Mytilus edulis: one gene and its partner. Each later gene encodes a partner of the first gene's protein in a complex. Links are inferred from orthologs where the notes say so. Each region holds a gene or a part of one and is shown in the gene's direction. Other genes may lie near its edges. The genes, in order: exosome complex component RRP4-like and exosome complex component RRP41-like.

Region 1 (3,931 bases):
AATTACAAACACAGGTCAAAGTACAGCCTTTTACACAGGGCTTTGATACAGAACAAACAGCAAGCTATAAAGGACCCCAAAATTATTACATGTAGCGTACACAATTCGAACAGGAAAATCAACGATCTAATTTATATATCCAAACGAAAAAATACCAATGATCAACATCAACAAACGATAACTGCTGAACGACATGCTCCTGAATCAATCAGGACAGGTGCATAAACATGCAGCGGCTATGGATAGTTTTGTTTCGCGAGCATACAATATAATTGCAGTTGAAGGCAAATCCTTCAGAAGTTCTTTGTACTTTATTCTAACAACGAACATCTTTTGATAGGGAATATAAGTAAGGGGGAAAGAAACCAATTTTTTGTTCTTCACGGAAATACCCGCTGTTATAACTTTTTATCGGAGCACTCCAGGTTTCATGCTGAAACAAATATTCTCACAGATATTTACACAGTGTGGTGGGGTGCTTTTATGTTTAAAATCATTATATACAGGTTACACTGTGATTTAACAAATGTTGATATCTTTTTATAATATTTACAAAAAAAAAACGGTGCGGGAAATGGACATGATTACAATTCCGGATGCGGGAAGCGGGAATATAAAAAAAATAAAAAAATTCTGTTTTGAAAAAAATAGGTGCTGGCGGGTCCGTCGAACAAGGGATCAAATTGGTGTGGCCTTATAACCCGGTTACATTTTTCGCAATAATTAAAACATTGAAATAGTGCTTGCCCTAAGTCAGGAGCCTTTAATTCAGTGGTTGACATTTGTTGTTGTGTAACCTCTTAGCTTTTTCGCTATTTTTTTGTGAATAAATTAGGTTGTTTGTTTTCATGTTTGCATTGTTTTACATTTGTCACTTCGAGTGTCCCATTTCTCAAGTACTTTTAATTTTATTGCCGACTATGCAGTATGGGCTAATCTAGTCCAAATAAATATGAAGTCTGACAAGGCTATTTAAATTTAATCCTGGGACGCCTTCCTACGACCGAAGCATTGCCAGACGTCTTAATTATTTGGACTAGGGCTAATCCTATACACCTTTATTGCTATTTGTCCGCCATTGCTGGAAATCACACAGGTTCCCGTAAAAATTTGACGTCATAAAACAAAATATCTGACGCCACAATGGAAAAGTGATTGTTGTTGACGTCAAAAGTTCAAGCGGCCGGCCGGGTCAGCCGGGATTAGCGATAAGGTGTATTGTTGAAGGCCCTACTCACTAGCCTACTGTAACCTATGTTGTTATTTTTTGTGTCATTTGGCATCCTGTAGTGAGTTGTGTCATTGGCAATCATGCCTCTCCTTCTTGTTTTTATATGATGCTGGGAACAGTATATCTATGTTCCTGTATGATGTAACTGTGAAAAAACTTTGTAAATGTGATTTGACAATCATGACAATTGAATGGTATTGTATAAAGTAGATTTTAATTACCTCGGGTTCATCTTGCATGAGCAGCTCCTCGAGCTTGCTAGTACGAGCTTCTGCAACTTGTTCTTCTGTCATCTTTTAATTTGATGAAATTATACAACGTGATTCTTCATTGAAAATGAAAGGTCAAATATTCCGACTAAAATTTCGATGATCCTCTGGATTTTACATAAGATTTCACGTCGTTGTCCTCAGAACGTTTGGAAGTAACCAGTTTTTAATCTTTAAAAATAAAAACATAAACGATGAGAGCTGTAAACAAACCCGCAAGGAAGCAGCATGGTTGATATTCGTGTTGTTGGAGCCAGAGATCGTCAAAAGCAAGAGTTCACAGAGGAAATATCGAACCTTGTGTGTCCAGGCGATGTCATTACTACAGATACTGGTTTCATGCGGTAGGAAATGGATGACAATATTTGAACAACATGAAATGAACATAAATTTTATTTGTCGATTATTTAAAATGAATAATTTAGAATTATTCATTTTGGCTGTCTAAATCATTTAAAAAAAATCAGTATAATCATTCCCATTTATACACCGGAAAGAGGAGAAGGCAGTATAGTTATCAATATTTCACTTCACTGTTATTGTAGTCCTAATATTGAAATTTTATAGACCTTATCGCTATTTGGAAATCTAGGCTGCGCCGCTTGACCCAAGAATCTACGCCTCTTGAACTTTTGACATCATACAAGAGAGTTATAATGGAGGTACCAGACTTAGTAACCTTCACTATAGATTATTGTAAAAATTCTTGCCAAATGTGGCTAACGGTAACTTTTGGTTCATGACAATAAAATGTACCCTTTCATTTAGACGATAAAAAATCGACTGCTTTTGAGGAATGTTATCAGGTCCGTTCCCGCTCAATACACTGTCATACCCTACACGCTTACACCTCACATGTTCGCCCCTGATTTTTGTTTGTATGTAATACAGTGATCGTCATTATGCAGGATTAACTAGAATAATGTTTGTTTTGTAAGTACTTATTAACAATTCCTTAATTACAGCAGTGCTGATTGTCAATTATTAAAATACATTTTTGGTGCAATATAACATTATAGTTTTCCCGGTCACTTGCTCAGCATTGGAACAGAAGTGACGAAGCACCTAACGTACAAATGGTGTTCACTAAAACCAGAGTTTTTGACGACAATGCATCAAACTCGAAAGTTGTCTATTTCGCGACTGGGTGACATTTTTTTCAAAATGCCAGTACCTTGTGTTATATAATCATGACAACTAAAGGTATACAGTAAAAAAAATTCTGATACAAGTGCCTGTATTGAAGGTGTATTATTATTCAGGGACATTTATAATGCGAAATTTCAGCTCTTTTTGTCTCCCTTAAAAACTTTTTAAAAAGTAACGATTTGGCCTTTATATGTACTTGAGAAATAATTATATTTTATATTTTATTGGCATAATTTCAGTGGTCATGGAACGTATATGGAGGACGAGAAACTTCATGCTTCAGTAGCCGGTGTTGTGGAGAGAGTCAACAAATTAATATGTGTAAAACCTCTTAAAACAAGGTAAACATTAGCAATTTATTGGTCAGATTATTTTCACTATTTCAACAACAGAAATAAAGAGAGGAGGAATGAATGCAAATAAGACAACTCTCTATCTAAGATTTTTTTGCTTTAAGGTGTATAATTTTTCAGGTACATGTATATTGCCCAAGTTCAGCTCTTCTTATTGTTAAAAGTAAACAATTAAAGGTCAAAGTAAGGCCTTAACACAGAGCCTTGGCTTACACCAAATTGTAGCAAGTTATATAAAGGCCCCAAAATGACTAGTGTAAAACAATTCAAACAGGAAAACCAACAATCTAATCTATATAAAAAACAAAAAACACTTATGAACCACATCAGCAAACAACAACCACTAATGAAATGTTCCTTTAATACATTGTATATCTCTATGTCAATTTTTCATTTCAAGGTACATATGTACTGTACTAAAAAAGTTTTTTGTCAGTCATGTCGAAAGAGAATAGGATGTTGTAAGCCATGTTTACAGCTATTTTTCTTAGTCATAAGAGAGTTGTTTCATTGACACTCATCTTTAATCTATAAATATGCAAAACAGTGACAGTACTGTCCCTTTGATATACAATGTTTTTCTAAGTCTATGTTACACATCATGTGTAGGTTATTTCATGCACATTAACACCTTCACCCTTGATTGGTAGGTTTATAGAAGTGGTAACACATAATTATTTTGTTAATCCATAGATATAATGGTGAAGTTGGAGATGTTGTGATTGGGAGAATTATAGAAGTGGGACAAAAGAGATGGAAAGTAGATACCAGATCAAAGTTAGATTCCATATTAATGTTGTCATCAGTTAATCTGCCAGGAGGAGAACTTGTAAGAATCATTTGTCCTTTTAAATTACTAATATAAAAATAAGTTCAATGATGTGATATGACTGCTAATGAGACAACTCTCTACAAAGTTCAAATGAAGT
Region 2 (3,931 bases), on another chromosome or scaffold:
GTAATACCTTTAGCCATGCTGGTGATCAGAAGAGGGAAGATCAAAATTTATTTGAAAACAGTTTTTAAAGAATTATGAACAAATTAGATTTTCGAAAACAATTTTCACGGAACACTTATTTATGATTTCAACTTTGACTTTTCACCTAATTCCAATATCAAGTTTAAAAACAACAGACCATGGTTAGTTAGTCGGATAAAACAACCGTACGATTGACAAGATATCGACACGCAATTACGACTACATCGGTTACTGTAGTTTTGTTTCTTTGTGGTTTATAGACATATCGTTTCATTAATCGGGAAAGAAGGACAAAATGGCGGAACGCAGAGAATTAATACCCTTAATTTAAAATCGATGGTGATCGCTTATCTAGCGGAATAAAACTTTAATATCTATGAATTTGAGCATTTTTATACAGAATGAACATAATATCAATTTTTGATTTTTTTACGAAGTTTCCCTTTAATACATTTCTATATATATGGTCTTTTTTTTCAAAAATATTCATTATACATGTAATCTCATAAATTCGTATATAATTTTAATAATATATATAAAGTGTTTTTTTATTAAAGTAAAAAAATAACAATCTACTAATCGTAGTCCGAGTTCGTTCAATATATTTCTGCATATAAATAATGGTAGGCCGAGTTTGTTATAGTCCGAGTTTGTTATAGGCCGATTTTGTTTTAGTCCGAGTTATCCAGCAGCGGACTCGCACTATAACTGTATAAGTCTTTAACCAAGAAAGAATATAAACATTTACTGAGACAATTTACCAAAAGTAAAACTCCATTATCTGTAGCAATTGCTACTGTGCCATCTTCCGACCAATCTAGAGCATTATAACTAGATATTTCGTGAGGAAAAAGAATTTTATCCCCTCCCGCCATCTTGAGGAGAAGTCCGAGTTCGAAATGATAGGTCTTTATTGATTGGATAATATCTCGATCTTAACCAATCAACGCTTCTTTTACAATTGTCGAGTTCAATTTCCATGCCGTTGTAAATATTGGGAGCATGGCAGGAGTGAATCTTTTGTCAGATCAAGGCTATAGAATAGATGGCAGAAAACCAAATGAATTAAGACGGATCCAGTGCAAATTAGGTTATTGATTTGTAATTTGACGCACTTCGTTTTGGATACACGAATCACTAGTCCGAGATTACTCTGACGTCCAACGGCTGTTTTCCCAGCTTGTCTGGCAAAACAGCCGTTGGACGTCAGAGTAATCTCGGACTTACGAATCACAAGAGGCCTTTAAATTCTCCATGTCATGTTTTTTTTTTAGAAGTTACGCCCCTTTGAAATTATTTGCTTCAATTCACCTCTGCAACAGTTTGTCATCACAACTTCTCTGAAACTACACAACAGAATTTCATGAACCTTTGTAGATAATAAGGACATACTATGCAGATGTGCATATCGACTGGAAATTATGATTCAATTTTTTTTCTTCAGTTACATTATTTTATTTCTGTTGGGACGTGGGGTATCTGAGCGCGCTCACTAAGGTTCTTTGAATTATTCAATTTTCTTCTGTCTGTATCTGTATCTGTATGTGTACGTTGAAGATACCAATTCTGGCTTTTACTCAACGGGAGAGAGAGACACCTATTGGCGGTGTTGGAGAGCAGCCTTGAAGCTCTCAACTGTATCTGCGCATACAATACGATCCTCTAGTTGGTTCCAATGTAGTACACTCTTGACGAAGAATGAGTTCTTATAGGGATCGGTGTTGCTTGGAATAGTATCTAGTGCCTTAGAATTGTTCTTTACTGAATTTGTCACTATATTGGCACATACAAAATTGTCAAATGTTTTAGGTTTGATTTTCCTCTTGGGTTTACTTTTAACAAGAAAATCGTCGGGATTAATAGCTGGGACCAACCCCTCAACCACTTTGTACAGAAATACTAGCCGTTGACTTGTTCTTCTTGTTTGTAGGTTGTCTAGTTCTAACTCGGCTAGCATTTTGGTGACCGACCCCTCTTCTCTAGACCTATAGTCGCCTGTGATGAATCTAGCTGCTCTGCGTTGTATTCTTTCCAATTGATTTATATCATGTTGTGTATATGGGTCCCATATTATGGCACCATATTCCATAGTTGATCGTACTAATGATATATATGCGGTCTTATTGCAATCTTTTGGGCAGAAGCGTAGATTTCTTCTTAGAAAGCCGAGTGTCGAATTGGCTTTCTTGGCAACGTTTGAGATGTGCGTGGTCCATTTTAGGTCTTCTGATATTTGTAAGCCTAGATATGGGTTGTGTTGGACTTGTTGTAGTACATGTCTGTCTAGGCTGTACATCTTCTGGCTTTTATTCTTAATGCTAAGTATATAGCACTTCTTTGCATTGAAGCGCATGCCCCAGTTTGTGGCCCATACTTCTAGGTTTTGGAGGTCTCGTTGTAGGAGTGTGTGGTCATGTTGACTATTTATGTTCCTGTACAGGAGGCAGTCATCTGCGAAAAGTCTGACAGATGATTGTACTGAATCTGGAAGGTCGTTTATGTGGCAGAGGAAGAGAAGGGGTCCTAGTACTGTACCTTGTGGTACACCGGAGTCAACTGAAGCTTCTTCTGATTCCTCCCCATCTACGACAGCTTTCATTTTCCTTTGGGTTAGGAACATCTCCAACCATTTGTTTAGTGGTCCTCTTATACCGTATTCGTTCATTTTGTGCAGTAGTTTGTTGTGCGGCACAGTGTCAAATGCTTTGGAGAAGTCCAGTATAGCTACATCAATTTGTTTTCCTGCGTCGAAGGCTTTCATGAAGTCGTGTAGTGTGACTAGCAGTTGGGTTTCACAGGAATAGCCTGACCTGAAGCCATGGTTCGTCATTCGTCATGCAGGGTACCCCATTCCTACCCTCATGTACATTTTGATTTAAATTATGTAACAAGACCCAAGTATGCCTGAATTAGACTTTTAGTTCATTTTAAAGGCCAACCTAGGCTTATAATTTTGAGGACAATAAGCTTGTGAATAATTCTTAAACTACAGGTATCACTTATCCTTTTGAAGACAAGAAAATGACAATAACAAAAAACAAAACATAAAATAAAAAGATCAAACGATAAAGTGTTATTATGAAAGTTGGTTGTAGTTGGAAGTTTAAGGACTTCATAACTTGTATATCATTATTTCATTGTAGTTAGCATAACAATTTTTTCTCTCTTTCCTTCAGGTGTATTCAAGCAGGCAGATGGATCAGCATACATTGAACAAGGAAATACAAAAGTGCTGGCCACAGTCTATGGTCCACATGAAATCAGAGGGAGCAGAGCAAAGCTGTTACTTGACAGAGTATTGGTTAACTGTCAATACAGCATGGCTACATTTAGTACTGGGGAGAGGAAACGTCGACCAAGAGGTGACAGAAAATCACAAGAAATGACAATGCATTTAAAACAAACATTTGATGCAGCAATTATGACAAATTTATATCCACGATCACAGATTGACATTTTTGTTGAAGTTCTCCAATCGGATGGTGGAAATTACTGTGCTAGTGTAAATGGGGCTACTCTTGCTCTGATCGATGCTGGTATTCCAATGAAAGACTTTGTTTGTGCTTGTTCAGCAAGTTTTGTAAATGATAATCCTATTGCTGATATAAACTATCTTGAAGAATCTTCAGGTGGACCTGAATTAATTGTTGCAACACTACCAAAATCTGACCAGATAGTTTTTCTTGAACAGAACTCGAGGCTCCATGAGGACAATCTGAGTAAAGTTATTGACTTAGCAGTGAAAAGTTGTAAAGATGTTTACACTGTCTTAGACCAAACAGTCAGGGATCATGTTAGTGAATTGTCTAATTCACATGGATGGGATCATTAAAATAAATTGCTTCATCAAAAAATGTCTCCTTTACTGGCTGGTATTTGTGTGTTTCAGATTTGTTATATTGTTGGGTCG

The links.
Region 2: exosome complex component RRP4-like (region 1) and exosome complex component RRP41-like share a complex: the UniProt entries of both Caenorhabditis elegans proteins name them as parts of the RNA exosome complex. The link is inferred for Mytilus edulis from reciprocal best matches to the Caenorhabditis elegans genes exos-2 and exos-4.1.

Annotation. Positions count from the first base shown.
Region 1 is NC_092345.1:3,686,592-3,690,522, reverse strand, and holds the start of exosome complex component RRP4-like, read left to right. Parts: upstream 1-1,601; 5' UTR 1,602-1,728; coding exon 1,729-1,844; intron 1,845-2,888; coding exon 2,889-2,990; intron 2,991-3,695; coding exon 3,696-3,831; intron 3,832-3,931. Other genes in the region: uncharacterized protein, read right to left, coding at 1,453-1,524. UniProt on the Caenorhabditis elegans protein: Non-catalytic component of the RNA exosome complex which has 3'->5' exoribonuclease activity and participates in a multitude of cellular RNA processing and degradation events. Involved in regulation of antisense ribosomal siRNA production.
Region 2 is NC_092351.1:28,690,925-28,694,855, forward strand, and holds exosome complex component RRP41-like, read left to right. Parts: upstream 1-968; 5' UTR 969-1,023; coding exon 1,024-1,111; intron 1,112-3,197; coding exon 3,198-3,853; 3' UTR 3,854-3,875; downstream 3,876-3,931. Other genes in the region: general transcription factor 3C polypeptide 4-like, read right to left, coding at 783-896. UniProt on the Caenorhabditis elegans protein: Non-catalytic component of the RNA exosome complex which has 3'->5' exoribonuclease activity and participates in a multitude of cellular RNA processing and degradation events.